Lonchura striata: one gene and its partner. The protein of the gene in region 2 purifies or fractionates together with the protein of the main gene of each other region. This does not show direct contact. Links are inferred from orthologs where the notes say so. Each region holds a gene or a part of one and is shown on either strand. Other genes may lie near its edges.

Evidence for each region.
Region 1: the proteins of HNF1A (region 2) and PCBD2 purify together in Homo sapiens (affinity purification with mass spectrometry; 4 studies listed by BioGRID and IntAct, with this or other methods). This does not show direct contact. The link is inferred for Lonchura striata from reciprocal best matches to the Homo sapiens genes HNF1A and PCBD2.

What each region holds. Positions count from the first base shown.
Region 1 is NC_134617.1:9,282,841-9,299,059, reverse strand, and holds the start of PCBD2 (pterin-4-alpha-carbinolamine dehydratase 2), read left to right. Parts: upstream 1-7,108; coding exon 7,109-7,111; intron 7,112-9,426; exon of another isoform or gene 9,427-9,497; intron 9,498-9,785; coding exon 9,786-9,917; intron 9,918-12,356; exon of another isoform or gene 12,357-12,521; intron 12,522-14,501; coding exon 14,502-14,559; intron 14,560-16,219. Other genes in the region: TXNDC15 (thioredoxin domain-containing protein 15), read left to right, coding at 2,462-2,513, 2,592-2,944, 3,636-3,799, 3,994-4,124, 4,792-4,988.
Region 2 is NC_134620.1:4,609,306-4,625,723, forward strand, and holds the start of HNF1A (hepatocyte nuclear factor 1-alpha), read right to left. Parts: upstream 6,519-16,418; 5' UTR 6,314-6,518; coding exon 5,979-6,313; intron 1-5,978. Other genes in the region: SPPL3 (signal peptide peptidase-like 3), read left to right, coding at 14,376-14,398. UniProt on the Homo sapiens protein: Transcriptional activator that regulates the tissue specific expression of multiple genes, especially in pancreatic islet cells and in liver. Binds to the inverted palindrome 5'-GTTAATNATTAAC-3'.

The DNA of each region.
Region 1 (16,219 bases), on a different chromosome or scaffold from region 2:
ATTCTTCTCTATTTTAGTGCATATATTTTAACACTGCTACATATATTTATGACTTATTATTAAGACTAGACCTTTCTCCTTGTGACTTTTTTCCGAAATAGAAGAAACTGTATTCTGAAATTTGAACCACTTTCTGTTCCTTCAATCTTTCATCATTTGCTTTTCCACAGGTTTACTTTGGGGGTAACAGTAATCTGTTAAATAACTAGTATCAGCACCCTGTCCTCTGCTGTAAAAAGCCTGATTAGATACTGTGTATGTTTTTATGTCCATGAACTTGAGCTACTCGTGTGCAATTATGTGTATGGGAATGGAGTAGTGTTCATGATCTGTATTTACATCATCATATGGATGTATATTTATTAATAAAGTTAATACTTTAAGACCTAGCTGGTTTTCCCTGTTGTTTTTTTTTAATACCTTTTAAATTCTAGTTGAAGATGCGAGTTGACAGCGTTACCTGCTTGTTACAGACATGTTACATGTATTTGCATTAAGGCAAAAAGACTGAGTTGCCAGTGTCAGGAGATAGAGGAATGTTGCTTATTTTTTAATGAATTGAAAACAATGTGACATTAACTTAATTGTACTTCTTCTTTTGCTCAAAGTGGAGAAAAGGGGAGGAAATGAGCTATAACCCTGTATAGATAAATAGTCAGCTGCTAACTTTTTCCTCTGTTGCACATGGAAATCAAACTGAAAGTACTCATAAATAAAATTTTAATGGAATGGTGGTCATAATTCATTATTCTGCCTGTATTCCAGGTATGTTTGTGCTGTGGCAGGAAGGAGATTGTTAGGATTAAATTCACAGTAAGAAATTGTTTTCAAGTTAAAATGCTGTTTTGACAAAAACATAAGGAGAAGGGGGAATGAGGCAGCTTGTTCTTTGCTAGTCTGCGCTGGTTTGGATTCTCTTTGTGTTTTTGCTTTCAGGCTTGTTCCATATCAGCTGATCTAATTAAATATTTTCCCTCTATGTGCAAACCTCATGTTTTCTATTTTTAGACTATTATGTCCTCATTATTAGTGCTTATGCAAATTTGACTTCAAAAGAAAAAGCTTCAAGCGAGAAAATGTGTGCTGTAAGGAATGACACAGTTGGAGAAGTACACCTGAGTAAAAACAAAGCTAAACGTCCAGTTTCGGTAATAAGTGACCCCCATCTTCATTTATACACAATTACTTGCTTTTTCCTGCCCTATTCCCATGTGCATGGTTCATGCTCCCCTCAGTCATGACTTATCAGTTTTTGACAGATGCAGAGCTGTGGCAAAATTTCATTGTGCACTGCTGGCAGTTTTAAGGAAGTGTGTTCAAAAAGATAGCAGCACTGGAAGTAATGTGTTCATTTTCAAAATGTCCCAAAGAGTCTTGAGGCTTCACTATTAAACTGAAATAAAGTAAAAACTAATTCTGCAACATGAAAAATACAATTTCCTATAAAGGAATATGGGAGTATTTATCTTGCCTTTCTGCTTGGGAGCTTTGGTTGATAAGCTGCTGGACAAGAACTATTTTATAGTTTGCTGCCTTTTACTCTTACCCCAGCGTGCTGTAGGTTAAGGCACAGTTTGTGTGCAGACAACTCCCAGACGGGACCGTGCTTCCTAACGAGGGTGGGAGCAGGCAAATCCTTCGCCAGGCTGTGGGAAGAGCTGGGGCTGGTACCAGAGCAGGCTTGGAGTTACAGGCATCACTGCTCAGTCGCAGCAGCCCGCCGAAGCCATGGGATGGCACTTGTTCGCTGCAAGAATTTCCGACCTGAACTGATTTAAATCAACGGTGAAATGCTTCCAGCAGCCTCAGCAGCCCGACAGCCGGCCCGGGCATCACCGTGCGGCTCAGCCCTGCAAGGCGGGGTCACAATCATGGGGTGGCTTGGGTTGGAAGGGACCTTAAAGAACATCTTGTTCCACACGCCTGCCATGGGCAGGGACACGTTGCACTATCCCAGGTTGCTCCAAGCGCCGTCCAGCCTGGCCTTGAACACTTACAGGGATGGGGCAGCCACAGCTGCTCTGGGCAGCCTGTGCCAGGGGCGCACCATGCTCGCAGTAAATTTTTTCTGAAAATAATTTCGGTAAAGATTTTTTTCCCTATTATCTAATCTAAACCATTCTTCCTTGTCACAACACGCGCTTGTAAACAGTCTTGTCCCATCCTCCCTATAAATTCCCATCAGGTACTGAGAGGCCGTAATCGGGTCACCCGAAGCCCTCTCTTTTCCGGGCTGAACGCTCCCAGCTCGGGGCTCGGCGGGGCGGCGAGAAAACTCGGTTAAAGCCACCGCGTTGTGCCCAACGGGAGCGGAGCGCAGCCCCGCTGCGCTGTCCCGCCCCACGAGCTGAGCCCTTCCCGGGGCCGTCCGGGGGCAGCGGAACTGGAAGTGTCGCGGGCTCCGGCGGAAGCGCTCGTTGTCCGGGGAGACGCGGCGGCGGCCGCGGGGCTGTGGGTGAGGATGTGGCGGCTGCTGCTGGCGCTGGCCTGGCTCGGAGCGACCCTTCCCGCAGGTGCGGCCGGGGGCTGCGGGTGCGCGGGGCGGGCGGGGCGCGGCGCTGACCCGGCCCTCCGTGCCTCTCTCCCCGCAGGAGCGGAGCGGAGCGGCGCCGAGCCGGTGCGGTACCGCACGGCCGAGATGGCGGACGCGATGCTGGGCAGCGGCGCCCTGGCCGAGCAGCCCGTGCTGCTGTCGGCGGTGCCGGCCGGGGCGAGCGGCGGCCCCGCGGGGGTTTGCGATGCGGCGGGCGATGCGTGCGGCCCGGCGGGGAGCGGCCCCGCGGCCGCCCCGGGCCGGGAGCAGCCGGTGCTGGAGGCCGTGCTGCCCGCGCCCGCTGAGGAGCAGAACGGCACCGACGGCGCCAGGGCTCCCAAGGTGAACTGCGACGAGAGGAACACGACGGGCATCGAGCGCTTCACGCTGCAGATCCTGAACGTGTCCCAGGTAGGCGGGTGGCCGCGCACTGCCCGGCGCTGGTGTGAGCGCTGAGGGTGCCCCGTCAGCTTTCAGTGCTCCACGTAGTGAATTTCCCTGTGCAACGGCTCTACCGAAGAAAATAGATGACTGGGCAAGGAGGCTTTTTGGGCCATTCTGGGCCGGAAAAAAAACTTGAGTTACGGCTCGTTTCACGTGCCTGTGTTTGTTATCTCTGTGTCTGCAGGGTACTGCCAGCTCTTTTGCTCTGTGGACTGGTGTTTCACTTGGAAATCGTTAAAGGCAATTAGTGCCAGCTCTTTTCTTGTAATGCTTATGTATATGTATATTTTTGGGCCATTCTGGGCCGGAAAAATTGAGTTACGGCTCGTTTCATGTGCCTGTGTTTGTTATCTCTGTGTCTGCAGGGTACTGCCAGCTCTTCTGCTCTGTGGACTGGTGTTTCACTTGGAAATCGTTAATGGCAATTAGTGCCAGCTCTTTTCTTGTAATGGTTATGTATATGTATATTTTTAAGTAATAAACTTTTAAAGCAACCTTTAAAAAAGGTTATATGCAATTCTCCACCTGTTTCAAAAGGTAAGGCTGCTTGATCGGTTTTGCCAAGTATGTAATCGATTGCTGAATGCTGCATCCCTACACAGAATTTAACCCTGTTAAATATGTAATTGTCCATGCTTGTTCTCATGCTTTCTCCAAGGACCTCATGGAGTTCCTGAACCCAAACAGCAGTGACTGTACATTGGTCCTGTTCTACACACCGTGGTGCCGCTTTTCTGCCAGCCTGGCACCTCATTTTAACTCTTTGCCCCGAGCATTTCCAACTCTTCGCTTCCTGGCACTGGATGCATCCCAGCACAGCAGGTAACTCACACTCCCTATGCTCTAGCTGCACTTAATTTCTGTTAGCTTTGAGTTTTAAAAACAGGAGTGACCTTTTTTCCCTATATAAACTGACAATTTTATTTAGTGAAACTGACACTTCAGTATTGTGACTGTCTTTATTTCTTCCTCCAGAAAATTTAATTTCCTTTATACTTTATTTTTTGTTTTTGTAGTTTATCAACCAGATTTGGAACAGTGGCTGTACCAAATATTCTCCTTTTCCAAGGTGCTAAACCTATGGCTAGGTTTAATCATACAGACAGAACTCTGGAAACCCTGAAAGACTTCATCTTTAACCAGACAGGTGTGTAAATCAGCCCTGGTTTGCCAGTGGGAAGAACAGACTGGCTTTAAGGTCCAAACTGGGCTTTCCTGTCCCTGTGTGTGTTTTTTAAAATGAATGTCATAAAAACCCTGAGAGGATCTAGCAGAGGTTCACTTAATCAGTTGCTGCAGTGAGCTGGATTTCAGCCTGTGCTGGGAGAAGGAACTCAGCTCCTTGGGTGCTGTCACAGAGCAGGGGGAACGCTGGGGTTTAGCTAGGGAGGCTGCCAGAAGGATGGAGTATATCCTCCTGCCCAAAGATTTAATTGAGAGTGAAATAAATTAACCTCTCTCTGCCATTCAGCTAGCTCTCTTCTAATCCACACTGAAGTGCTGTCTGGATCTGCATTTCCAGAAATGCACAAAAATGAGATTCCTGAAACATGCTAAATTAAATGTCCACCCCCACAACTTGTCCAGGGTTGTGCTGTGGGAGGACAGAACAAGCCTTCTCCCATAAAAATCACTACGTTTTTATAGCAGTAAATCATATCCTGGGCATATGTTATTGTACAAGGATAATCTCACCAAAATTTTAAGTCTACCTGTGTTTGAGCCTTAGTCTGGGAGCAGGAGCAAAGCTCAAGATAGAAGCAGCTACTCTGTATTTAGTGATTATGATGTTGACCAAGTACTTTGTTTTTTAGGGATAGAAGCCAGAAGTGATGTGGCTGTGACAGAGGAAGACTGGGAGGGGCCCCTGCCAAGTGTTCTGACGAAGGGCATAGACTGGCTGCTCCTGTTCTCGGTGCTGTTCCTGGCTGGCTTTGTCATGTACGCCACCATCCGCACCGACAGCATCCGCTGGCTCATCCCGGGGCAAGAGCACGAACATCAGGAATAACTTCAGAGGTTCAAACAGGGACAAAATTTTCCACTTATTGGTAAAGTGGGGATTTCTATGGACTAGAAGTACCTAAGAATGAACTGTTGAATTTGTTGGTTGTAATTTATAATAATGACTAAAAATTGACTTTATTTATGAACTACTGAATCTGTGACAAGAACATTTGTAGCGATTCCAGTGGTAAGTGAACAAGTATGAAAAAATATGAACTAAAGTATTTATTAAGCTGCTCTGATTTACTTATTTTTAATGGATTTTGATGTAATTAGTGTTGCAGTTCCAATTTGTAGATCAGGGAAGGTTTTTACAGCACATTGGTCTGTGTGTGGCACTACAAGGCAAACACTGGTGAAGGGAGGTGTTGGTACGTTAGTTTGACTGTCCATAAAATGAACTATGAAGATGTTTTAAATGATTTTTCACTCCCATGGAGGTGACTGTTCCCACCTCTGGCACTGGGGTTCAGTGCTGGTTTTCTCATTCACTTCACTCTGAGTTTTGACTTAGTAACAATTCTCTGTGAGATTTAGAGTCACTTCCAAGCTCACCTCACTATTCCTGTGTGTGTATACAACTTATTTACCACATTCCCGTTGGATGAAATTGTATTAATTGTCCTTTTAAAAAAAATCAATCAGGTTTTTAGTGTAACCTTTTAAGATGTATTTTTCAGAAGTAAAAACATGCAATTTCTGAACTACAGCTCACCTGCCTAAATAGCAAGACCAGCCTTGATGTTTATTTAAATTTCTAATACCATGTTTGCTAGTTCCACACTCTCCACTTGAGGCTACATAAAGAATTTATGGGTTTTTTTTAGATATGATTAGTATGGAGGGCTTTGAATAAGGTATGGGCTGGTATGTTGTGTGGGGTTTGGATTATGTGATTGCATAAAATTTATCATGGTGGAGGCTTGCCAAAGTATCCTAATAGGGTGGTTTAGAGAGCAAATTAACATAAAACAAAGATAGTCTTAAGACTTATTTTTCAACAGATAGCTCATATCCCCGCAATGTAATTAATGTAATCCCTTCATTAATTTCTCTGCTGGCTCTATCTTTTCCTCTGGAAACCAAGAGGTCATGTATATCTGTGTCCAAAAAGGAAACTGCACTGGTAAAACTTCGGTGTTATTGAAGATAAGCCTGATGGATGTTATTAATAAAGACCGTGAACGATAGATTGGAGCATTCTTGCCTTGGCCATCTGCTTCGTTTGAGAGGCCCAGGGTTGGATTGTCCCGGTGCTCACGTCCACACCGCTACCAGGGATGTTTTTACAAACAGAACGGGGCTGATTCAGTGGGGTGGGAATGACACCTGCCCGCTCACTGTGTGACAGAATCCACCCGCGGCCGGCCGCTCTCCTCCGGGGTAGGTGTCACGAATCATGGCAACATCAAGGTTAACAGAGACCTTTTAGACCGTCCAGACCAGCCCCTAAACCGCATGGCCCAGCGCCCGATCCCCGCGCCTCTGGAGCCCCTCCCGGCTGGCAACCCCACCGCCTCCCTGGGCAGCCGGAACAATGCCCGGCCGCCCCGACAGTGAAAAGGTTTTCTTTAACATCTGATCGGAATGCTCCAGTCTCAGCTTCAGGCCAGTTCCTGTCCTCTCACTGCAGGCACGGCAGAAGAGATCGGTGTCCCCCCCCCTCCTTGCAGGGCACGGCCCAGAGCGATGCGGTGCCTGAGCCTGCTCGCTCCTGGCCGGTGGCCGCTCCCCTGGCTCGCTCCCCGCGCTGCCCCCGCTGCCCCGCGGGGCGCGGCGGGGCCGGGCTGCGGCAGGGCCGGGCCCGGCGGGGCGGGTCCGGCGGGGCCGGGCTGCGGGGCGGGCCCGGCGGGGCCATGGCGGGCGGCGGGGCCGGCGGGGCGGGCTCGGCGGGCTCGGCGGGGCTGGGCTGCGGCGGGGCGGGCTCGGCGGGCTCGGCGGGGCGGGCTCGGCGGGGCGGGGCCCGGCGGGGCCATGGCGGGCGGCGGGGCGGGCCCGGCGGGCTCGGCGGGGCGGGTCTGGCGGGGCGGGCCCGGCGGGGCCATGGCGGGCGGCGGGGCCGGGCTGCGGCGGGCGCTGCTGGGAGCGCGGCGGGCGGCGGGCGGCGCCGGGAGCCCCGCGGCCATGGTGAGGGTGAGGGCGAGGGCGGACGGGCCCCTCATGGGCAGGCAGCGCGCTCGGGTCAGTCCCGGCCCTGTTCCCTCGGAACTGGGGCATTGGGATTGCTCAGCCTGGAGAGGCCGCCGGGGAGACCTGCTTGGCACCGTTCAGTATGGGGAGAGCCATGGGGAGAGCTGGAGAGGATTTTGGACGAGGGCGCGGAGGGAAAGGATAAGGGGGAATGGCTTCACACTGATAGAAGGTTAGATGGGAGATCGCGAAGACGTTCTTCCCTGTGGGAATGGTGAGACCCTGGCACTGGCTGCCCAGAGGAGCTGCGGCTGCCGCATCCCTGGAAGTGTTCATCCAGGCTGGATGGGGCTGGAGCAGCCTGCGAGAGGGGAAGGTGTCCCTGCCCATGGCAGATGGGTTTTAACATCCCTTCCAGCCCAAATCAGTCTGTGATTCTCCCGCCTCACAGCTGATTATTTTATTTTACACAAAGCTCATAGTGAACAGCAGGTGCAGGGTTCAACCCTCACCCCTCAGGCATGAGAGTTAATTCTATTTTGTTTTTAAGTTATGACTGTTTGCCTGAGCTTCCTCTGAACAAACAGTATCCATCACTCGGCCAGTCCCAGCAGCCAGCAGCCGCTGAGGGTGCGCTGGGTGCCCGCAGCTCGGATGCTCGGTCAGCCCTGGCACCCGGTGCCCGTTCCTGCTTCCCTGGGGTCTGGCCATGCCCGTGATGAGCTGCTGAGGGCTGAGCGTGGAAAAGCCATTGCAGTCTCCCACTTTATCTTCTTCCTTCCTGCATTCTGCTCCATTTCTGAACATCGTCATGTGTCAAGGGGCTGACTCAGGACGTGGCCTCCACAATGTGAAACGCGCTCAGTGTTCAGCAGGGCCTGCATAAAATGTGGTCTCAGTATCCCTATTTTTTAATAGGATCGAATTTCAATGTCTTCTCTATGGCCATGTGTCAGGTGAGGTGTCTGGAGGGCACCACAGTGTCCCCAGAGCTGGCACAGGACATCTGTGCCAGCTGGACTTTGTGTTTGGGACACCAGCAGCCCTGGACTTTGTTGTCTCAAAAAAAAAAACCTCCACCCTCATGATTTTTTTGTACATTTGCAGTCTAATTTAATCTTGTGCCAGATAAAACAGTAGATTTCAACATAGCCTTTAGCTTTGGTGATTTCTGTATATGCTTGGGGAAGAATAAAAAAGAAGAGTGTAAGAAATTTATGCCTATGACTGCAGTTATAGATAGCAATGACAAATCTGAAATTTGTGTTCTTGCAAGCTTAACATTGTGTTTGAAGTGTAATGACCCTAAACTTGTTCAGTTTGGGGCCTGTAAAACCCATCTCTTGTTACAGCTCTGTATCCCCCTAAACACAAACAATAACAGTATTGCTGTTAGATTGATTTACTCCATGTGGGGCTTTTTATCCTATGTTATTGGTGAAAATGTTGCTCTCTGGCCCTCGTGTATCTTAAGGCCTTGCTCAGGTCGCATTAATTGCGTTAATTCCTGTTCTGCTCAGACTCACAGCCCCATCTGGTGGCTCCGGGGCTCCCGCTGGAGCACCGGCTGGCAAAGGTGAAAACTCCTGAGCTGCTGAGCTGGTCCTCGCTGCCTCCCACGTCTGAGTGAACCTCTGGAGCAAAACTGCCTTTCTGGAGGATCTCACAAAGCTGAGACAGCTGCTAAAATAAAGACTAAGCCAGTCTGAATGTAGCTGGGGAGAAAGGTTCTTCCCACTGAAGCATTGCATTTATCATGAGTCAGAGACCCATCTCTCAGAATATGTGGTCTGAGGAAGGGCTCATGATCTTAGTCCCCACTTTTAGAAAAGGTATCAGACCTCTTCCGAAAGCCCCACAGAACATTCCTCTGTGTCTGGCTCTGGCCTTGTGTGTGGTTCAGCCCCTGATTCCAATATTTCAGCAGAGTGTTAATCTGTCATGTCTGTGCACCCAGTGGCATCAGGAGGACTCCTGTCACTTCAAGTAAACCATACTTAAACACTGGTGCTTTACAGAATCTAGTGCTTTTACCAGTAGCTTCAAACTTTTTGTAATCGTGTGCAGGTTCATCCATGTATTGACATTTTTTTTATTTTGATTTAGTTACAGAGCTCTTTGTTCCTTGTAGAAGTCCACAGCATGTGCTGTCTTCAAAGTCCATCCCCACTTTCTTAAAATAGTAAAATAAAAAGTAGGTAGAGTTCAAACTCCTGTTTCTCTTCTCTCTTTTGAAATAGGTATTTCCTGATATTGTTTAGCCTTATAATTGTACATTTAGCAAATAATGTAAATCATCCTTTACTTACCAGACAGAATGGAACATTTGGAAATTAAATGTGATGTTACAGCATCTGGATAATTCAGAAGACCAAGGGTACAGGTATGCTGATGTCCATCTTCATTCCTGGGAGTCTGTTGCTTTTCACTAGTTTTGTACAAAAAGCATTTGGCTGAACTTACCTGCCCAAATAGAAATGGCAGGGTTTGGCTGGTTTAGGTTAAGCTGGTCTGTGAAATTATAAATGGTAAGAAACTGTACAGTGAATTTTCCATATACTCACCTTTGCACCATATATAACCACAATTTCATAATGTGGTTTTCTTACTGATGTACAAAAGAAAACCTCAGCCTCACTTGTGCCATGCCTTTATTTTTTTTTTTCAACAGTCCTCCCAGTCTCACTGGTTGACGACAGAGGAAAGGAATCAAGTTTTACTGGATCTCAAAGCTTCAGGCTGGTCTGAGCTGGGTGAAAGAGATGCCATCTACAAGGAGTTCAATTTCAAAAATTTTAATCAGGTAATGATTGTTATATGCCACTTTTAATATAAAGGAAATGTAATTGCTTTAATTTCCATATGATCCTGATGGGAAAATATTTATATTCAGAAGTTTGGGAGTATCCTGGTGGGGCCAAATCCTCTTGGATTTGCCCTGATGAATTGCTCTCAGATTCTGATCTCATTAGGTAGAGTAAATTAATTCAATGTTGTAGTTGATAAGTAGATTTGTTCTAATGTTACAGTTTCTTGATTCTAATATTCAGGTCAGAGGCAAGGCTGGTATTGTGGAATCAGAAAAAGCAGTATTTGATCCTGAATTTTTTTTTTCCATTACTAGCACTGATAAATAAATGCTAGAAATATATAAGTGATGGGCAGTGGGGATCATTTTTGTTCAGGGAAATACGTGAAAAAAAAGAGGTAAATATAAGAAATAACAAACTTTTGGCAAGCAAGGTGGGAAAAACAGAAACATTTCACCTTCTAAACAGGAAGACAAAGTTCTAGTATATCCTTGATTGAATTGTAATAGCTATCTTTCAGTGTCTTTGGCACACAGATTGCACAGTGCTGGTTTTTATTTACCTCACTGGGTTTTTGTTTGGAAACAGGATCCTGAGTGACATCTCACACTCACAAGAACTTGTCTCAGACATTAGTTGCAAACTTGCTTTAGAAATACTGAATTTGTCTTGAGATCCCTGTTCAGCTACATTCCACTGAAAATTCCCTTCTGAGGAATCATGACATTGCTTAGAAAAAGTCACATTCCCAGAAGATGCATTTCCTTTCTGTTTTATTTCTGAGGGAGGGGTGAACTCTTTCTTGGGAGGGAAAGAATTTCCAGGGGTTTCTTGGGATGATGGGTCTCACCAAGCTGGTTCTTTCCCTCACTACAGAGGGACATGACAAGCTCCAGTTTGGGGATGCTGTGGGTTTATTGGTGTGTGCAGGGACAAAGAGCTGTGTTGTGAGCTGTTTATATGGCTGTGCCTAAACCCAGAACAAGATGTTTTAGGAAACCACAGTGAGCTGGATAAACAACAATTTGTAATGCTGACCCTTGTTTTGACTGTTTCAGTAGTTGCCATATTAAGGAAAGTTCAGGCAGTAGAGAGAAGGTGGGTGAGGTGAGCTGGGAGAAAGTAAAAGAGAAAACAACTGCAGAAAAATCCAGCTCATTAGCAGGACAGTACTGGTCTAGGGAGCATGTCCATAACCCTGAGTACATTTTTAACCTGAATGTTAATACAGAGCAAATAGAACCAAATCAGTTCATTCCAAGGGCAGTGAAGGGGAGAAGCCCATGAGAGGGAGCTCACAGGAAGCCTTGGTGAGATGTGTAAGCAGCTGGGAGCTGGAGCAACCAGGAATGTGGCAGGATAGAAGTGACCCTTGGAAGAGCAGAGATTTTCTGACTTTGAATATTCATGAAATTACATCTCTGCCTGGTTGTGGTCAAAGTCTTTGTTGATTCAGCGCAACTAGAAATGAAGTTGCCCTCAAAATTAATTAAAAAGTGTTTTTTCCCACTGTAAATTAGTAACTCAGTTTGATCAGATGGATTTAGACAGTCCCTGTCTGCCAATAGACAGGTGAGGAGACAAATCAATGTCCTGCACCAGCAGATATCTGGAAAACACATTACTTTGACAAAAATTTACAAAGTTGTATTTTTTTTTTTTTTTGACAGTGTAGACTTGTCTTACCTACCAGCTTAGGTAAATATCCATATGTCTTTCTGATTTGAAGGTGGATGGAGCACATACCAGTATAGGAAGTTGAGTATATTTAAATTACCTTGTTGGTAAATGATGAACTATATGTCAATACTTCTGGTACCCGTAGTCATGGGAAGAGTACTTTAAAGAAGTGCCACTTGAATTTTTTGGGAGATATTAGAACAGTGTCTTTCATGCTTAGCTGCTTTCATGGATGTAAGGCAGAAATAAGAGCAGAGGCTGAGAGTTGGGTTCAAAATGAAATTTCTGCCCCCAGTTGGGAGAAAAAGCCTTGCAGGTGGGTGCTCTGGGCAGCTCTGGTTGGATCAAGTGTAGATGTGAACATGTAAGGGCAGAATTTCAATGCTGATTTTTGTGGATTTACTGCATTGTCCCCTTTGCTGTTGCAGAGGGCAGAAATCATTTCTGTTCTTGTAGTCCAGGAGCAGGCTCAACATGCAGATCCCAAGGGCATTAGATCCTTAGCTGGTATTTGCCTTTCGATAAGTTGGAGCTGAAAATAAATCTAAATTATGCATGTATGCTTAAGTTTATTAAATTATGCACATATACTTGTATTTATAATGACTATCAGTAAACACCATATTTACTACAACCTAGGAAACAAATGGCAAAAGTGGAGCTATACCTGCCTTGTACTTTAGGAGAATTTCATCCTGCAATGAAAAAATGGAACTTGTAGATACAACTGCTTTCATTTAATGCAATAAATATTCTATTTACAGGATTTAAAGTGTTTAGTAAAAGTCAAAGGACTGAGAAATGTCATTTCCTCAGTGATCTTCTTCCTGCCTTTTTACAGATGGTGTAAAATCAGGTGTGGAAAAAAAATCACCCCCAAAAATGCAAAAAAAAAAGTAGTTGAGCTGACATGAAAGGTATTTCAAATTTATGTTTTGCAGATGATATTGGTATGATTAATGTATTCATTGCTTTTTTTTTTTATTGCTTCTTGCAGATAATATTCATGATGCATGGAAAATTCTGTGGCTTCAAAATCCATGCCAGGTTTACAAAGTTTGTGTATGTCAACAGATGTTAAGAATATAAACACAACTTTTATTATAAAGTTGTGCAAATGTGTAGACATGAGCTTGGTTTATGTATATTATTTTCAGCATGAGAATGAAATGAAACTTCTGTGAAACAAGAGTTATTTAGATTCCTGAAGCTTTCAGGCTGAGATTAGTTCACTTAAAAGCGGTCAGCAGTGAGCTGCCTTTGTAAGGCTGACAAGCTAATGACACTTCTGGCTCAGAGAATTAGTTTGTAACCCAGAATTTGAAAGCACTAATGGTGTTTGTTAGTCTGAGGATACATTTTCACAAAAATGGACTTCGGTGGTACAATTCTCTGAAAAAAGCTGGAAGCCAGCCTGGAGTTTCTACTGAAAGTGCTTGGTTGTTTTTGTTGCTGTGGATGCCCACCAAGCACCAGTCCTGACTGTATGTATGCTCCCAGTATGTGAGGCAGGCTCCTGGTGGGTTGGTGTTCTGCATCTTGTATAAAATAAACACAGCAGTGGTGGAGGGAAAAATGCAATTCAGCTGTAGAGGAGAGTTCTGTGTCCAGAAGAGCTGTGCTGATGGCACCAATGCCTCTCTTCCTCCATATGCCACTGAACTATTGCCACTGTGGAGTGGCAGGTAGGCTGTGATGAGTTAACACTGCAGTCTTTTACCTTCAGGACCCTCGATGGGGTGCACTTACTCAAAGCCCTTGGGCTGAGTCCCTTTTCCAAAGGAACTTGTTCTTGGCTGAAACCTTTGGCTGTGAGTGAGGTTTTGGAGAGGAGGTGGGCTTGGAGCACTCCATGGCAAGTCTGAATTCCTGCTGTGCATCTGTGCTCATGAGCCTCTACACACCTCACAGCCACATCAGGGAGCTTCTTTGGGGCCTCTCTCCCAGGCTGCAGGGCAGAGAAGAGTGGCTGGTGAGGATTTCAGGCCATCGTCCAGCACCATGAAGTGATGTTGTCATCCATTCAGATCTTTGTGCTACTGAAACAAAATGGTTTTCTTCCAGTGGAGCAAGCCCTCTGCTTCCAGTCTGCTCAAACAAAATTGGGAACTGGGATAGAAAGTTAGTTTATGCCTTCAGGTCATGCTGGTAACTTCTCCCAGCATTTCAGGTCAGTTCACCTTGGGAGCAGTGATCTGGAAGAAGGGACAGGTCTGGTTTAAAGATGTGAATTTCTCCCAGTTTCACCTCAAGCCCACTCCTGGCCTGGGTGGGCAGCTGCAAAAGGCTGTGAGTGCAGGGTGCCAAGTGCTCAGTTTGGGTCCTGTATCCAGCTGCTCATTTTCCCTGAATTTGCAGGAACATCTTAGCTCTGAGACTTCCATGTCTCTTGTCAAACTTGGTTGGATTTGACCAGAGGGTTTAAGGGGCAACTGCCTGTGTGATTGCGTTTCCGTAGGTAATCACACCAAGGCAGCAAATGCAGTTAGGAAATTACAAAGGTGGGCAAGTTTGCTGATGGTCAGGTTCAGAATTTACAGCTGCTTTCTTTTATAGGGTAAGTTTTTAATTAAGTTTGTTTTTTTTAAAAAAAAAGATTCTGTAGGAAGTCTCCATAAGACCTCTAACGTCATTTTCTAAAATGACAGGAAATCAAATGCTCTAAGAGTTTTAAAGCTATTTCAGATACATTTTTTGTCTTTTGGGGGAAGAGGGTGAAGGTGGAAGATGAGTCTGAGTGGAGGGGACAATACAGAAATGCTATGCACTAAGATTAGAGGCATATGTGTCTCAGTGCAATTTGTGTCTTGGGTTTTGAGAACATATTTAAAGATGTGCTGTAAAAAATCTAGGTGTATTAAATAAGTTATTTTTCTCACTTTGCATTTCCTTTCCAGATTTGCCGTCTCTCTTCGTTGGAATCTGGGAGAAAAAAGTCAGACAGAGCATGTTATGGTACATGCATTTTTTTTTCTCCCTCCTGGTGATGCAAATTTTTTTTCTTTTGGCTGTAGGGAGGCATGCTCAGATTTGTCCCTTTAAATTGATGATTCTTGTTGTATGATCCCAGTTCCACATCCAAACAAATTTGGTAGGATATGCAATGCATACTCTTGATTTCTTTCAAGTACTTGGTGCCAGTGCCTTCAATATAATCTGGGTCCGTCCTTCCTTTTTCTACTCCTGGCACATTGCTTTGTTTTTTACATTCATCAAAGGTTGGAAAATTTGGTTTTATACATATAGGCAGTGTATTTTGTTTCCACTTTATGTACTTAATCTTTTGGCTGTTTGTCTAAAATACGTCCACGCCTTTTATGTATTGAAAACATTATATCCTTTAACTTACAATCTGCAGAGTTAAAATGAATTTTATGGTAAATATTCAGTTGTGGACCACATCTCCAGCTTTTTATATGCCACAGCGGTCTTGTGGTTTTTTTTCTTCTCCATTGTCTGATAGTGAGGTCATTTTCAGTCCTCTTGAGATATTTTATTCCCAGCCAGATGCAGGCCATATATTAAAAGTAGCACCTGTGGCTAATATCACAGCAGCTTACCATAAATTTACATGGTAACTAGGATTATATCTGTCAAGACTGTTAAAAAATGTCTAGTTTTAATTTGATTTCCAGTATTGAAGGAGCTCTCCAACATTTTGCTTCATAACTATATTTTAAAAGTTAAAATCACTCCATTGTTAAGTTTTATAGCACTCCCAGTGCCCATTAAGTTGATTTGTTAAATGGGGGTCAGAATAAAGCAAGTTGGCTGCAGGAGGATCGGAAACCAACCCATTTGTGACAAATTTAGTCCTCGCGTGTGAATCTTCTCGGGGCCCGGGGAGTGATTGGATTCAGGTGCAGCCTGTGTCAGTTGTGTTTAACCTCAAAGCCTGAGCAGCCCCAGCCCAACTGTCACTTTTGCTAATCGAAAGTTGGACCTGTTTTCATACATTTTGGGAGGAATAGCTATTTTTAATGTAGTAGTGCTCTGCCAGCTCCTTCTGCTAGAGTTTTGCATTTGATTGCCTGTCGACTAAAAATAAATTATTTTTTTATCCAGCTAGGTAGGTGCTAGTTTTCATATAGGCTTTCTGAAACTGCTTCATTTTCCATTATCCTTTGAGTCCTCTCCCATATGCTGTGATTTGTGCACCTGCAAAGTTATGAAAGTATTTCATAACTTTGGTAGTTATGTTGGTAGTTATGTTGTTCGCTAACTTCCCAGCGTTTATGAATACAATAACCGATTTACAATAAATCAGAATTATTTATGAGTGGGTTTACAGAGTTGGAAATATCTTTGTATCTGAAAATAATGAATTTTGGGCATATTTGCCTGTTGACATTTTCTTTTATTAGAAACTGATAGTGAAGTTTCTGGGACTGGCAGAGGTTAACCTGCAGGCCAAAACACAGTCAATGAACTACATCAGGTATCTCAGAGCAGAGCACAGTAAAAATATATGATTCCTGGATGGTCACACCTTCCTTGGGTTTATTCTTGGGATTGACTGAGTAAATAAGAGTTTCGCCTCTGAGTCGGCGGGTCAGGGTGCAGCTGTGGGATCTGGCCATGATCCACCTGCCTGCGCTGCCTGTGCAGTGCAGGG
Region 2 (16,418 bases):
CTCAAACACATTGGTTCACACCTAGATCTACTCAAAGCTTCTAAATGCAATGTAGAACCACAGGCAAACCACTGATTCCTCCTACTGTTGCCCTCCTTTTGGTAACAGCTGAGGGAATAGAACTATTTAAGACCGCTCACAAAATCTGAGGAACAGTTTGGGATTTTATAATTAATATGATCCTCTGGGCTTTTTGATATCCAGTTAGAATATCCCATTAAGGTTCTTGAGGAAAATAGAGAAAACATGACTGTGACTTTATGTGTATTGATTTCACCCCAGCTGAAAGTCACAGTAGAAATAAAGAAACACATCAGTCTAAATCCAAGCTGTGCCAGAGCACCTCTGCAGCACAGCTCCTGGCTCACTTTGAACAAGAGCATCCTTCTGTGCCTTCTGTGTGAAGTGTCTGGAGGAAATGGTTTGCAGTGCTGTAGGAAGACACTGGTGTCATATTCAACACCAGCATCAAAGGAGCAGTGGGGAGAAAAAAGGTGCCTGGGAGGGTGCAGAAACTGTCTCAAGAGCACACATGTCTGAGCAACAGGCAACAACTGTGCTGTTCATGGCTTTGTTGACTCAGGAGGTTGCTGGAGGCTGCACAGTGATAAGGAGGACAAAGTCCACACCTGTTCTCTCAGTACAAACACCCTTATCTCTGTTCCCCTGCAGCCCCTCTCCCAGGGCCTGTGTAGTCCAAGGAGCAAGCTCCAGAGCAGTTAAAGTGTGACACAAATGGTGTCAGTTACAGCTTTTTGAAAACCTGCTTAAAATAGAACCTTAGTTTCTCTTTTACATTGGAGCACTTGCCATAGAGGCTTCTGATTTTCAGCATCTTCCCTTAACTATCTTTGACTTTCAAAAACCTCAAATTGAGCTGAATTTAAGAAATCTTTTCTTTCCTTGTGGTTCATTTTATTTGTTTGCTTCTTTCTTTCTGCTGCCCAAACCAGTCTCCTGCCTTTGTGCTTGTGATAGTCTGCCTAGCACCTGCACCCTGTGTTCATTGTCCAAGTCCCTCTATAGAGGAGAAAAGCCTCTGACTGGGAAGCTGACTTCTTTGATTTGAGTTCTGGCTCAGATAGGAGGAGGAAAGACTGTGTTGTCACTGATGGAAGCCTCTGTTATGTGTTAGTTCCTTTCTGCACCCCAGTCGAGTCAGTTTTGTCTCCTCTGTTGAGATCCTCATTTTGTAGCAGGAATAAACAGTAGGTTCTGTGAGTCTCTTCTCACAGTAAAGACTTGTGGGTTTTGTCTTTTTTTGACACAGCAGGAAGCTTTGTGATACAAAATAGTGCAGGGGATCTTAGTAGTGTGATTTCCTAGGACAGCTGTATGAAATCCTGGCTACTCTGTACATTGTCAAAGGCCAGTCTGCAAAACCAATGCAGCGAGTACTTCAGGCCCAAGGCTACACCACAGTCCAAGTGATGACAGTCTGGCCAGCTGAACCCTTGCTCAAATACACAATTCCACCTGCAGAGCCTTCATCACAGGCTAAGACATCAGAAGTTGAGACCTCTTCTATTTCACTGTCTTAAGAATATCATTGACTGTCAGAGGGAGGATTTCACTCTAAACTGAGTTCTCCTGCTTGTTGTTACAGCCAAATCTCAATTGTTACAGTGAGTCAGAACTGCACAAATAGGTCTGCTTTGCTCAAACTCTCCTTCCCTATCATCTCCAATTTTCTGCCTTTTAGTTTCCCTTTCTCCTCAGATAGCAAACTGTCTCCCCAGGGTCTTGTTCTCCAGGGTGTAATCTGTCTCCTAGTTGGTCTTACACAGGTTGCTTTTACTTCTGTCTTCTGAAGTCTTGTTCTCCTGCTCTCAGTTGGTTATTGCCATGTGAGCATAGCCCTTCTCCATGGCTCATCCCCAGCACAGGGGCCAGGGTCCTCTCTCCATGTCAGCTTCCCATTTTCTTAGTTCTGAGGTCACTTTTTAAGGGCGTTTTCACCTCCCTTTTGTTACCTGAACAATAAGTAACCCAGGTAGTTAGTTATAAACTCAAAGGGAACAAGAGGCTGGTTGATAATTTATAGCAACATCTCAAATTTAAATGGAAAGTAAATATCAAGTTGTTAGCATTAAAGAAAACCCATTCCAGAGAGCTGGAGATGTAACATTCAGGGGACCTTCTCCCTCCTTCACTCTTCCTGACTTCTTATTTTTCCTTTGTTCTTTTCTTTCTTTTCCTCTTCCTCGTTCTGTCTCTCTCCCCTTCTTTCCTGTTCTGATTCTCAGGTGGGAGAAGCCTTCATTTCCCTGAGGTGGGTTCTGAATTGCTGCTTTGGACCAGACCCTGCTCAAGCAGAGGTTCAGAGCTGTGAAGTGCTCAGGACCATCCCCAGCCCTTTCCTCTGGAGCTGCTCCACAACTCAGTGCCCAGTCTGGAGCCAGGCTGGGCAGAGGGAAGGTAAGACCATCCATCCTGGCAGAGCTCCTTTCTGTTGAACTTGGCCTGGTTTGCCTCATCTTGGTTTATATGTGGAAATGAAAGGGGTGTGGCAGCTTCATCTCCAGATTCCCCAACTAGAGCCATTCTAAGCAGGGGAAAGACTGAACCTTTGTCATTATATATCTTTGTTTTCATTTTTCCTTCTGGGAAACATGCTTTTATATCTGCTTCCAGGGGAAATCTGTTGCTTATCTCAACTTCTCTCTTTCCTAATGGAATTTCAGCCCTTGCCCTACAGGTGGATTGTCACTATACCTCTCTTCATTTGCTTTACCTGCAGTAGTATGATCCCTTCCCCCAAGGTAGCCTCCTTCTTGCTTTATATTCTGGGAATGTCTGGGAGTTTCTCCTCACAGCTCTACCTCCCTACTGAGTCATTTATTTCTTATCATAGATGCAATTTGTTTTGTGTGTGGATTGATATGGAAAGAATGTTTTTATTCAAACTGTAAATCTACAGGAGATCAGTGAGACATATGAAAGGACAAAATGAAATTATGTTAATTGCCCACTAGAGAAACCTTTATCTGAACTGCTTTTAGCATGTTTTCTCTGCAGGGACAAAATCTAATCAACACCCATGGGTGCACCCAGTCCTGTGAGTGTATCTTGTTTGTTCTACTCAGCTTTGACCAGAGTTTTTCAAACCAGTTTCAGCTTCAGTGGTCCTGTGAAGACATAGTTGGTCTCTTGGTGCTGTCAGTTTTTTCTCTTCCCAGCTCCTGGAAAGCCTAATAATGGACACTTTTCCTGATTCTATTTTATAAAGCAATTACCACAGACTTTCCTGTATCAGCAATAGCTGCCCACAAGTCAATCTGTCTGTTGAAATTTGGTCTGCAGACCAGGAATTGTTAATAATGCCCAAAGAGGCTTCTGTCTAAAGGGAGATTTGCCTCCATCTGATTTCTGCATTTGAAACCCTTGTGTAGATGGTGAAATAGTTTTGCAAGCATTGACCTTTTGCTGGGAATCCATGGGCATGGAGATTCTTGCCTGCCTTTCTTTTGTCTATTGCTGGAAGTAATTTCTACCATAGACTATTCTGCCCTGCTTTACAATACTTATAGTATTATTTTAAGGACATTACTTTAAATCTATTAATGGAAAGGTGTGGTCTTAAAACCAAAAAAGTGTATTAGTAGATAAGAACTTCTTGGGTATTATCAAGCCCTGATACTGGTTCAGGTGCTTTGAACACATTTTTAGACATTCTGTTGATTTGATGAGAAATGTGAAATATGTCAGTGTAGGCTTCCTACTCTTTTCATTTTAACTTGATTAATTTAAATCTATTCTAGACCTCCATAAGTGTACTTGTAATTTTTTTCTGACACTGAGGCTACTGGTGTCTTCATCCTATTGTCAACAGCAGAAGTGAATTGCTCTGTCCTGTGGTGGGGGAGATTGATGGCAGAGATCTCTGTTTCAGAGTAAAGCCTTTGTAATTAAGAGGCAGTGTGAGGCTTAGGAGATCCCTGTCCTTGCCCAGTCTCCTCTGTGCTGTCTCAGGGGTTTAGGTAGGTCCTAGAATTTGTCTGTACCTCAGTTTCCATTTGTGAAATGGAAATGCTGCTCAGCACACTGTCTGACTGTACATCAAAAAGTGTTAATATCACAGCTTTGGAAGAGAGGTAAGACTTGTGGTGAGACTGGTAAGCACAGGGAAGACTGGCAGCAAGATCCTAGAAAGGCAGGGAGGATCAGAAGCCAGAAATGGTGCTGAAGTGAGGGTGACAGGAAGGAATTGCCTCCATCCCTGTGTCTGTTCTTAGATCACAGCAGATGTCACTTCAGTCCTGCTTCACCCACTCATTAGAGAGAAGGGACAAAGCCAGGGAGGTCTTCCTCAACTTCCATGGCTTCCTCTCTGGAGAAATACTTGATAAACCATCAAAAGTTAATGATCAAAAAGCTTATCAAGGTATTTTCATCTATAAATTTATAAGACAAAAGAGAAATAATAAAGCCATTGGATAATTAGTAACTAGCCAGGGCCCGCCCGGTGCCACTGGGCTCAAACTGCCCCAAGACCTGTACGCAGACTCAGGAGGATGAGAAGGAGACAAGGATGAGGGGAAGAAAAAGAGTGGGAGGCAGAGAGAGAACCAGCCAAGGACACAACAAAATGGGAGGAATAGCAGCAGAAACAATAGTGAGGAGAGAAGGGAGATAGGTAAAAAGAATCTGAAAAATGTAAAGGAAGTAGAGAAAACTTAAAGATGTGGAAGAGCTGGAAGTGCAGAAGATGAGAGACATACTGGGCCAGGAAGAAGAGAGAATTACTGGGAATATTTTCCCACCCAGGTAAGAGCTGATTTCCTCTCTTGGGTTCTGCAGAATCCTCAACTCCCAATCTGCCAGGGAGCTTTCTTTTAAGTATTTACAGGGAATGCTAAGTCTTGTCATGCTCTTTTCTTAACTCTGGCCTTTTGTGGTGGGATTTGATGTTTGCTTCTGCTGTTATATTTTCAGTTGTTTCCTTGGCAAGTGAAAGAGAGTGATCAGAAAGCCTGAGAAATTCCGCAGCTAGATTTTTTGTGAAGATTTTAGGTGCAGGATGTTGCTGCACCTCTGTCTTCTGTCAGCTTGTCATTTCAAAATAGCCCTAAAGCAGTCAGGAATCTGTTGTGATGGATGGTAGGATGGGCCTGACCCTTGCTTGGACAAACTTTGGTCTCCCATGGGGATTGTATCCCAGTAAGAATCCCAAATGGGAAATTGAGTGAATGCTTCTCTGACTTTATTATGAGGCTTATTGATTCAGGGAGCTTTCCCTGTCTTTTGATCTCAAAAATGCTTGTATGCAAAGGCAAATTTTATGTGGCAGCAAACTCTGTAACTGTTGCTGCGTATGTACTTTGTAACTGTGATGGGCAGTGGGTGGTAGAAGCAGAGTGTTCTGTCCAGGTTTTAACCTCTGCATCATGTATTTGGGGTGTGCTTTTTACAAGAAAAATCCCCACCAAAGTCAGGGCACTTCACACTCAAAAGAACAACAAGGACAGGGTCTCTTGATTTGGCTTTGGCCAATAATCTATAGCAAACCTCAGTGAAATTAACAATATAATTATCCTTAAATACAGCTGGGAAACATTACAACTTCACTGTACCATTCATGCAAATATAGCACCAGCTCAGAGTGACCAGTTGGTTTTTTTTCCCTTCCTGATGACTGAAATTTTGAATTGTATTAAAAATTTAAATCCTAAACCTTAAAATTCAGTAAAAGAGACGAGAGCTATACAGGCCTTGGACTATTCTGAAGCCTGATGCTATAAGCATGTCAAATATGTAATCAGGCTCCATAGCTTCCTTAATGCATTTTAAGCGAGATAAAAGGAAAATCTGAGCATTTATAAAGCATTTGGGGGTGTTTGGGGGATGCTAGTCCTGGCTTGGGTGAAGATTGTGATCAATTGTGAATACTAGGGACACTGAGGAGAAGGGGAAAGGAAAAGAGATTTAGAGGGAGAATGCAAGAAAGCAGCAAAGAGGAGCAGTAAATCTGTCCTTACTGTAATAGTCTTTCCACCACAGCCTTCTGGTGAGCAGCCTCCTCAGGGCTCAAGTTTTCCAGCTCCTTCATTATTGGAGGGGTAAATTCCTCTCCGTCATCTGAGGTTTCATCTTCTGATACCCGGGGCTCCCCCATTCCGTTGGGGAGGTTGGGGATGTCGGGACAGGGCTCCCCTTTCTCACTCTGGAGGGCATTGATAGCGCGCTGGCTTTCACTCTGGAGCCCGTAGGGTTCCGCTTCGCTCAGTGCCTTGATCAAGGTCTCCTTGGTCAGCCCCGACTCCAGCAGCGCTTCCAGCAGCTCCACTTGGAGATGAGTCAGCTTCGAGACCATGGTCTTCAGCCTGGTGTCTCTTGGGTTTGAATTTCGGGTTATCCTGCTTCCAGCTTCCCTACACCATGTTCCTGAGGTAACGCGCCCGACTGTCAGGAGAGTGGGCACAGCGCAGCCTCCCGCCTTTACACCCCCCAAAAAAAACAAAATACAAAATTGAGCCACTTCAGACCCCCCACGACTGTCCTGAGCCAGTGCTGATAAAGGGACCCTTGGCTATCTGTTTACATTGGAGCAAATGTAAATTCTCCAAGGTTCATATTTATCTGTGTGCTTTAGCAAGTTACTGAACTTTGGACTTCAGCACTGCCGCAGCAGTTCACAAAGTGCAGAGGGAGAGAAAGCAGGGGGAGGGGGAAAGGGAGGGAAGCAGGAGTCAGAAGGAGAAGAAAATGAAGGGATAAAAAATCTGCAGCATGGAAAAGTGAGTATGGAAAGAAAACTAGGAAGATGGGGATGGAAAAGCATGGCTTACTTGTGGCCCCATTCATTTTGGAGAAGGAAGAAGGTGGAGTACCCAAAAGGAGGAGCTGTGCTTGACTGCCCATGGTTCAGGACAAGGTGCTGCTGTTGGAATATCACAGAACCTGCTCAGAGCTCTGTCACTGGTGAAGTACAGCCAGTGTCAGGCCCTGCCAGAGGCTTTGGGCTGAGAGAAAGCCACACTGGCTGCGCTGGTCTTTGTGCAACCCCCAGAAGAGGGGAAAGTGACCACTGGCTTTATGTGAACATTCCCAAACCTCACATGGTGTTCTGAAGCTCCAGCTGATTTCTGTGGCAGACCATCAAGACTTAAGTGACATTTTCATTTCTGGCTTTGGCTGCTGGGTATCTTGATGTTCAAAAACTACACCTTTCCGTGTTTATTGCTCAACTATGAGCAGAAGCAGTGTTCCCACACAATCTGGGGGACTGCAGGACTTGCCCCTCTGAGCTTGTGATTAATGTATTTGATAAAGGATATCCCTGGGTGCTGGGTCATGCTCATACCCCTGTTCTATCATCAGCCTGCCCTACTGCTTCTGATGAGTGCTCTGGGCAAGCTTGTGGTTCCCCTTTATCATCTGCCTCCATCCCTTCTTGATACCAGCCCTCCTCTGAGATTCTGCTCCCACCTGTTGGGTGATTTCCTAAAACACAATCCCTGGCTTGGCTGGAATTGCTTAAAACAATTCTCCAGGAATCTTTTTGACTAAATTCTCTTTTCTGATCTGAAATTATATGAATGAATCTATCTACTTTGAATGGCTAAATTAGGGAGTAACTTGATGTGCACACGTGGGCTCGATGCACGAGTGTCTCATGCGAGTGATCCTTTGGAGGATGTAAAGCTGTGGTCTCAATGGAAGCTTGCCAGGACAACTGCCTGTGTCTGTACACTCCCATGGAGCCTGAGCTAAATGGAGCCTGGTAGGGCTGTCCCCAGACTGGGCAGTGTCCCAAGACAGTGCTGCAGAGGACCTTGGCTCCTGTTTTCCATCGTGGGCAGCACTGGCCAAGCTCTCCAGGCTCCTGAGTCAGCAGCTGCAGGACAGGGTTCCTGCAGGGACCCTCCTCCCTCCCGGCACCGGGCGGGATTGTGTTAACTCTTGCCTTTTATTTCAGATCTGGTCTGTGCCCAGAGCACCGCGTCCCCTCCCTGCAGGGCGTTAACAAAGCTCTAATGGATACTGACGGCTTTGTGTGGCTAAAACGAATGAGAATTCCGAGTCCATGTGAAACCATTTATTTGAAGAAATGTTCATGTGAGCATTAATGTAAAGACAACTTCAGCTTCTAAAGATTTTTTTGGGGTCATATTCTTAATAAAGAGTTGTGCTGGTTTTGCACCCATCACAAGAGTATTTAAAGAATGGTGAGCATTTCTGGCATTGTACTGTCACTGCGTTGATACAATTTCCATGTATTTTATTTGTTATTAGTTTTCCTTCATTCCCGCCCCTCAGGTAGATATGACAACATTACCAGCTGATAACAGTAATTTTCAATTGTAATTACAGTATCCAACCATGACATACGGTTTCTGCATGATATGTCCTTATAATTCAAGGATTTTGCAAACAGACACAGCAGATTGTGGAGCTCTTGCAATATGTGACAGAGGAGATGCTGTCATTCTGTGTTACTTATTTCTGCCTCTCTTTGGCATGGTGATCTCTTTTACATAAACCAAGGTGGAAAATATTACCACTGTTCTTGAGATTGTCCATATTCTGTTGGTATATAAAACCTATTGAATGTTTGAGGGGTGATGGGGAACACAGATCATTAAGTTTAAATAAAGAACAGCAATATTTGTCAATAGAAGCTGTAAAGAGAAGAAAGCATAGCAAGAAATTAGGTCTATGTTATGTGGTTTCAAGGATTCCTTATGCACCCAGAAGTCCTGATGCTGCTGCTTCTGCTTGCCTTGAGTACCTTAAGCTCTAGAAGCTTTTTTTTGAGACCAGTGAACGTTGAAGTCTATAAAACCAGAAATGCACATCTGTTTGTATGATGGAACCTCCCTGAATGCCACAACTGGATGCCACGTGGACAACGCTTAGCTGGACAAGGAAACATTTCAAATACTGAAGAGGTGGTAAATATTCTGTATCACTTTATCCTGAAAGGCTTTTTCTCTTGGTCTATTGGGATTGTCCATTTTAAACTGTAGGACAATTAGCAAACAACTAAATAAACTTACCCACTTTCATTTTTCCATTCATTGGAACCTGCCAGGCCGTGCCAGTGAATGGCTCTGCCCCACTAAGTATTTCAGATCCTCAGTGCAGGAAAACCAGTGAGCTTTTCAGTGTTTCTTAAGTGGTAGAAATAGCTAGGGGTCAGACTGAAAGGGATTCCTGTTGTGAATTAACCAGCATCCCTATTTTATAGCCTGGCACTAAAGATTGCAATATCAGATTTATCAGATTATTACAAGTGCAGTTTTGAGTTGATGAGAGAATGGCAGAGGTCAAGGGTGGAAATAGATTATAGTTCTATTGGAGGAAGAACTCAGTTGCAGAGTGCCATAATCAGACAATGTTCTCCTGAAACTGAATTGTACTCAGGGATGATGCCTTGAGGGTGAATATTTGAAATAAGGGGACTTGTGTTTCCTATACCCATTTTTATCTATTACTAGTGCTTACTCTATGTTGATTTCCTTAATTGTAACCACATCCTAGGTCATGACTTGATTCTCAGGTCACTCTGATTAATATGATCTTGGTCCTTGTAACAGGGGAAACTTAAAGTTTGAAGACACTAAAAGATACCTGCTTGTTTTTCTCATGTTTACAGTATTTGCTTTTGTATTAACTGTTCCAAAGTAATCTCTTCTTCTCTCCTGTATCTAATAAAGTGAGTGAATTACTTAACACTGAAAACACTGCATGAAAGTATGAATGGGTACACAATAGGAACATTATTCTTATTTTACTGGTCTGTATTCTGCTTATTGCACTAGGCCAAACTCACAAATGAGGGACAGCAGAGTCCTCATGGAAGGCAGAATAGACTCCCAAACCCTCAGTCCTGTATCAACACCATTTTTACCTCTGATGTTTTAATGTACTGAATTATATCTATTATGAAGTGTACATGATGAAAAACACAGTAATTTGTTGGTACAAAGCCAGTGTAATGCAGCTTCAAGGAGCACACAGAGAAAGAAAAAAGAAGTCTAAATATATTTATGATAAAAGTGCTACTAGAGGGAGCTCATATAATTCCCTGAATAGAGTGGTAAAATTGCCATTGGCAAATGAAACATGGAGAAATGGTTCTTTTAATAATTCTTTACCATTTTACTGTTCTTCCTGCTGTGGCTGATAAATGCTTTACTGGCCTGAAAGACATTAACATAATCCCCTCCTTGAAATGTGAGAGCTATTATGATAATTTTCACCCTTATTTCTGTTATTGGGGAAAAAAAAAAGCTACATGAGTCCCAAAACCGATTATTATTTGTGCATTGGGAGCTTAGTCCCAAAAGGCACACAGGAGTGTGAAAAATCTGAGATAAATGTTATTTATACCTTGTTATCACAGGGTTGGATTTCAGCTATTTGTGCAAACCCTGAGTATCTCAGTGGGGAAGGACTTGCTTGAATACATGGTTTTAATGTTTCCAGTATATACCCATTTAGATTCTAATGCAGTAGTCTTTGGTGTAAATATGTGAGTGTAATTGGAAAATGTGATTTTACCGAGAAGGAAGCTGGGTTTTTTCATCAGTGGGCTGGGCTGGATGCAGGGCTTGGAGTTGTGATGTGGTAAATCCATCGGGCAAATGGATTTAAATGACAAACTTTCTCTACACATTCCTCCACCTGTATGTGGAAACAGGACTGTGTCCTCCTTCCCAGTCATCTGTCATTTTCTCTCTCCCCTTACTCCCTGTTTCTACCATCACGCTGAGGGTGAGGGTGGAGATCAGGAGCAGCTCTGGAGCTGGGTTATGAAGAGGTTTCCCACTAGGTGGTAGTGAAGAGAATCGTGTCACACACGGTCACTGCACGTTGTAATTAGGTTTTATAAAGGGGAATCCCACAAGGATCTTACAAGTAAATAGCCTAGTATAGCTCCCAGCTGTACAGTCAGAAGTGGATCTCTTGATTTTTGGTTTTTTTTCCTTCCTTTTCTGCTCCTGTCCATGCTATTTGTTCCTTCCTAAACAAAGCAGGGTTGATAACTATACCTGTCATGTCCTTTCCTGAAGGGTGAAGTGTCTACATGAAGCTCCTCTGGTTCTCTCCACCTCCACTACAGCAGAATCAAGACATGGTTAGCTAATGTCATCTGCTGACATTTAAACAGCTTGGAGGTGAGGACTCTGTAGCCAGTACTTTAATCTGATTTTTCTGTACCTACCATGCTTGCCTCTGGGAGCTGCCCTTCCAAATATAAAAATAATTTTTAAAAGAGTTTTGTTTGCTGCTAGTTCTGAAATACCTTGACAGGTCTAAGTAAAGCATCAGTCTACATCAAAGGTTCCAGGCAGAACAGACATTTTGGGAGGACTTTGTAATGTCACAGTAAACTGTCACTAAAATTCAGACTAAAGTTCTCTTGTAGGTCCAAAGAGAGACTGTACAGAAGATACAATGAGAAAATTATCTGAGGAATGCAAGCAGTGCTCCAGTTTGCAGTTGAGAGTAGATGCTGGGTCTGCAGGGAGGAATAAATTTCTCCTGTGAATTCATTACATCGCTATCCTGTAATGATAGAGCAAGCTTGCAAAATCATTTAATAGTCTAGTCACAAAGCCTGAGATGCTGGAAAGAAATTATACTTTAATTGCTCATCAGCTATAAATCATTTGTGCCAAATTAATGTGCTGGAAATTTTGCAAGACTGAGAAACTGGAAGCTGAACACAAAACAGGGATATTGTTTCATAGATAGCAATATCAGTTTTACATCCTTCTCAGCAAAAAGAAAATTTGGAAAGGCTCTTTAGTATCAAGACAAGGCTGAAGACTGATTTATTTTTCTCTGCATTGATTTAAAAGGACAGAGAGGTCCTTTTTTCTTCTTACATTTACTCTGTTATAATCAATGAAAAGGGTAGCACCAATAGGCATTCCAGGCATTCAGGTTTGCACCAGAGTAGAGTGAGGATTCCAAATTGTTTATTTATTATCTAAGCATTTCTGCAGGTCTTTCTGCTGTGCTGAGGAGAACAAAAGCAGGCACTGTATCTACTGTGCAAACCCTACCTAAGATTTTTGTTTTTTAGACAGGGGATCTGTATGTGGGAACAGCAGTTTCCCCCCAAACTCACAGAATGGGCTGTGGACCCCACTGTTCCAGCTCTGAGCATGACTCCTCCCTCCTCCTCTCATGCCCACCGAAGCTCACCGATCTACCCAGATGGGCAGAGGGACTGTGCACAGGGTGCAAGCCGAGGGCAGAGATCAAACAGGGCAGGAAGTTTCTCCAGTTAGTCCAGCCTGAACTGGATGGGAGGAAAGTTTAACATTCCTCACCCTCTCATCCTTCCAGCACCCCCAGCTGCCAGGACTGACCCCAGCAGGGATCCCGTGACCCAGTCAGGCACAGGTACTTGGAGCATTTCCACCTCATGGCTGATAAATCCCATTCTCAAACAGATTTAGTAAGTGGGTAAAGAGCTGATTATGTCGGGAGCTCTAAGGTCATTCCTGTCCATGAGGCCAAAGGGCTGGGAAGAACACTGAGGATTTGGGTGCTGAAGTGACACAACCCATATCACTAGTTTGGAAAGCATAAAGATACAGGGGGAGAAACCCTCCGTGTCCAGCACCATCTTAATAAAAGCCATGTTTAACTGGAGCACAGGAGTCCCAGGCATTCCCTCCACCAAGTACACCTGTGTTGCGTGTGCAGCATCCTCCTGCTGCAGCTCCCCAAAACTTCAGGTGGCTGCAGCACTTTGCAGTTCCCTCTGCACTGACTAATGATCTGAGCTAGCAGGGATGAAGTGATCTGCCCATGATTACACAGCAACTGGTGACACAACAAAGATGAACAGAGACATTCCTTAGTTTTAATCCTCTGTCATGACCATCCAGCAGCCTAAGGTTTTTCCATTAAAGAGAATAAATAAGATGGACAGCATGAAAATAATTTATTCAATCTACTACTAAAGTGGGCTCCAAATTTCGGAGGCATCTGGCATTCCTGTAGATGCAATGAGAATGTCCCAGTGTCTCATTATTTTTTTGAAGATTCTATCGAGGCATAGAATTTCTTCATACTTGTTTTTAAAACAAATAGTTATTTTTATCATCCCCAGGCATTTGTGCTTCTATTTATATTTGATGCAGTTACATCACCTCTAACTGTATGTTCAAAGTGGCTGTTCTCCCTCCCACACTGAAAGGGACAATGAGTGGGAATGCACAGCTGGATGGGAACAATTGATCCAAGCTCTGTAAAGCCCCACTTGCACAAAATTGCTGCAAGTGAACTCCCAGGAGGTGAGGATTACTGACGCAAGCAAACCCAGCAAAAAGCACCAGTTCTGCATTCGGCAGAAACATAACGAAGGGCTGAGGGTTTGGCAGCAGAAATCAGACCAATATCAACGCAGCAGTTTCTCTGCATGAGACTCGCACAGGTTTAATATCAAGCTGGTGATAAAACGAAGCACACATGATTTTTATTTGGTCAAAGTGTCTGGAATGCTATTTTCCGTACCTAAAAAAAAAACAAAACATTTTGAGCATTTGATCCTATTGATTTTACTCAAAGTCCACAAATCCAAAAGTAATCTCTAGAAACACCTGTGCGTTTGATGAATTAACAACGCAGTATGAATCATTTTACCTGAAGGGTGCATTTACCGCGCACCCCGCGCTCAGAGGAGCGCCGGGACCGCGCGGGCTCCGCGGGCATCCAGCGCCGCGCCGGGGCGGCGGGAGCGCCCCGGGGTCCCTCCCCGGCCCAGCCGCGAGCCCGGGGGAGCTGCGGGCACGGAACCCGGCTCGGGACTGACCTGGGGAGCCGCGGCTGCCCGCGGGAGGCCCCGGCCCCGAACCCGCCCGCGCCGTTCCGCCGGGGCTCCGCGCCCCCCGGCCCCGAACCCGCCCGCGCCGTTCCGCCGGGGCTCCGCGCCCCACAGCGCCTGCGCGCGGCCGGCGGCGGCGGCACGTGAAGCTGTTGTGGGCACGTGACCCCGCGCGCCGCTCGGGCCCCGCCCCTCGGCGCGGCTCCGCCCCCGCCGTGCGCGAGCGCGGGCACGCGGCGCGGCCTGGCCCGGCCGCCCGGTGCCGCCGCCTCCCGCCCCCGCCCCGCCCCGCGCCGCCGTCGCCGCCGCCGCCGCCCCGCCGGCCATGAGGCCCCGCCGGCGCCCTAGCGCGGCCCAGCGTCGCGGCTGCTGAGCCTCCGCCGGCCCCCGCGGCCACCCTCGCCCTTCCCGCTCGCGCGGGGACCCCCCCCACCCTCGGCTCCCCTCCCTCCTCACAGCCGCCGCCATGTTGGGCCGGGAGCCGCAGCGGGGCCGCCACTGAGCCCCGGAGCCTGCGAGGAGGATCGGAGGAGGAGCCCGGTCCCGGCCGCCCGCGGAGCCCAGCGCCGGCCGCCCAGCCGCAGCCATGGCGGAGCAGACCTACTCCTGGTGAGCCGCGGGGCCGAGGCCGCGGGGCCTCCGGGCCGGGCCGAGCGCGGCCCCACGCGGGGACGGGGACCGGGCGGGGGCAGCGGCTGGGGCTGCGGCGGGGCCGGGGCACGGAGGGGCGCGCTGGTGGAGGGGCCGCGGGCTGAGGGCTCGGCGCGGCTGAGGAGGAGGGATTGGGGGACAGGAGGAGGGACGGGGCGGCCGGGCTGTGCGGATCCCCCCCGCCGGCAGCCGGGCAGCAGGACGGGATCGCCGGGAGCGCTGGCGAGGTTGTCACCCCCTGTCCCGGAGGGCTCCGTGCGAGCTCATCTCTGCACGGCCGGCGCCGCCGTCCGCCGGGCCTGGAGAGGGACAGGAGCTCGTTCACGGCTCTGAGGCTGCAGGTCACCTCTGCCTAAGGGGAGATTTATGCCAGCGCAGGCTGGTAAATCGGTGGCATGTGTGTGTGTTTTCACCTAGCGACAATAGGCTTGGTCTGTGTACAGGAAATAGAACGACGAGGAACAGACCAGTTCCTGTGGAAAGACATGAAGTATAGCAAATGAGAGGGCATTTTTTTCTGTGTCCTGACACTGTCTCGGGCCTAGCTGGCAGTGGATCAAAGAGACGAAGTGCAGTTTCTTCCTATAAATCTGGGGGTTTTGTTCTGTTGTGGATCACAGCCAAAATACCTCAAATAATTTACCTGCGCATCATCTCTATTGACCTGACCACTGCAGCAATTTATTGTGATAGTCTCACTGCATTTTAAATCCAGTGATGTCATCCAGAGCTGTTTCTTAGATTTTTTGAATAAAGTTACTTGTTTTGAAATAAGTCCCTTATTAAAAAAGGAGTTAAGTCTTAGTTTTTGACCTTGGTGTGTACTGAATGTGGAGAAGGGTTTGAACATGCAACAAATATCCCTGTTCTGAATGGTCCCATTACTTTTCGAAACTTGGAACCCTGTGGGGATTTCTGTTCTGCCGCATGTTGAGACTTTGTCAGCCCCTTTTTCCCTCTCTTGTCTCTTCTCTGTCAAGAACCAACATTTGTATCAGTCTTCTGCTTTTTAGATGCTCTTATTTTGTTTCACAAGCTCAGTTCAGGCAGTGGTCTGGTCTGCTTTAAAATAGCAGTGAAAGGACAACTCTTTTGACTTAAAAGAGCATTTACATATTGACACAGTAAATGAATATTGGTACAGATTTAGGCAGTTTAATGTAGTTCAATTAAATGTGTCTTAGTGTGTTTTAATTGCAGAATGAAATTATAAATTCATAAACTCTTGGATTTGTCAGCTTTCTGGAAAGAAGTAAATGAAACAAAATGTCAGTTATACATGATTTTGATCTTAACTCATTTGCTTTTTTGAATGAGTGTTTTTGCATTAGTAATAGTCTAAAGGGAGGATTTTTAACAGAGGCTGAGAGAGGATTTCGTCTTCTGCAGGTTGCATATTTTAAGGGAATGAAATTGCGATTTAAAGTGTTCACTGTGCTAGGTGGATCTGAAGAATGGAAGTTCTTTCTCACAGTACTGAGATTGTAGAATGAGGACGTGATGCTTAAAACTATAATTTTAGGTCTGTATTCTCTGTGGTGTCCTCATGAACCTGAGGTTTCTGTCACTTTGCATTTTTACCTGTACTCGGCCTTGCCTGGGAGCTATGGGAGCAGTGGACAGAGCAAAAATCCAATTTCAGTCATGCTCTCTTCTCTGTGGGTATTTTATTACTTATACTTCTAACAACAGTTTTGCCTCAGTTTACTTACAGTTGTGGTGATCAGCTCAGCATAAAATGGACCAGTGCTTTAGCATTTTTAGGACAAGTGTTCATTTTGTCACCTGAGGAGGCTGGTGCTCCTGTGCCCTGGAGCTGGTGCAGGAGCTCTGTTTGGAAGTTGGCTGATCCCATCCTGTCCACTTGGCAGACCTGGTCCTTTCTCTGGGTTACAAAGGCAGCTTTCCAAGGGCAGGTGTGTTCTGTGGTGCAGTGTCCAGCTGCTGTGCACATCCCTTATTTCACAACTGAAAATGC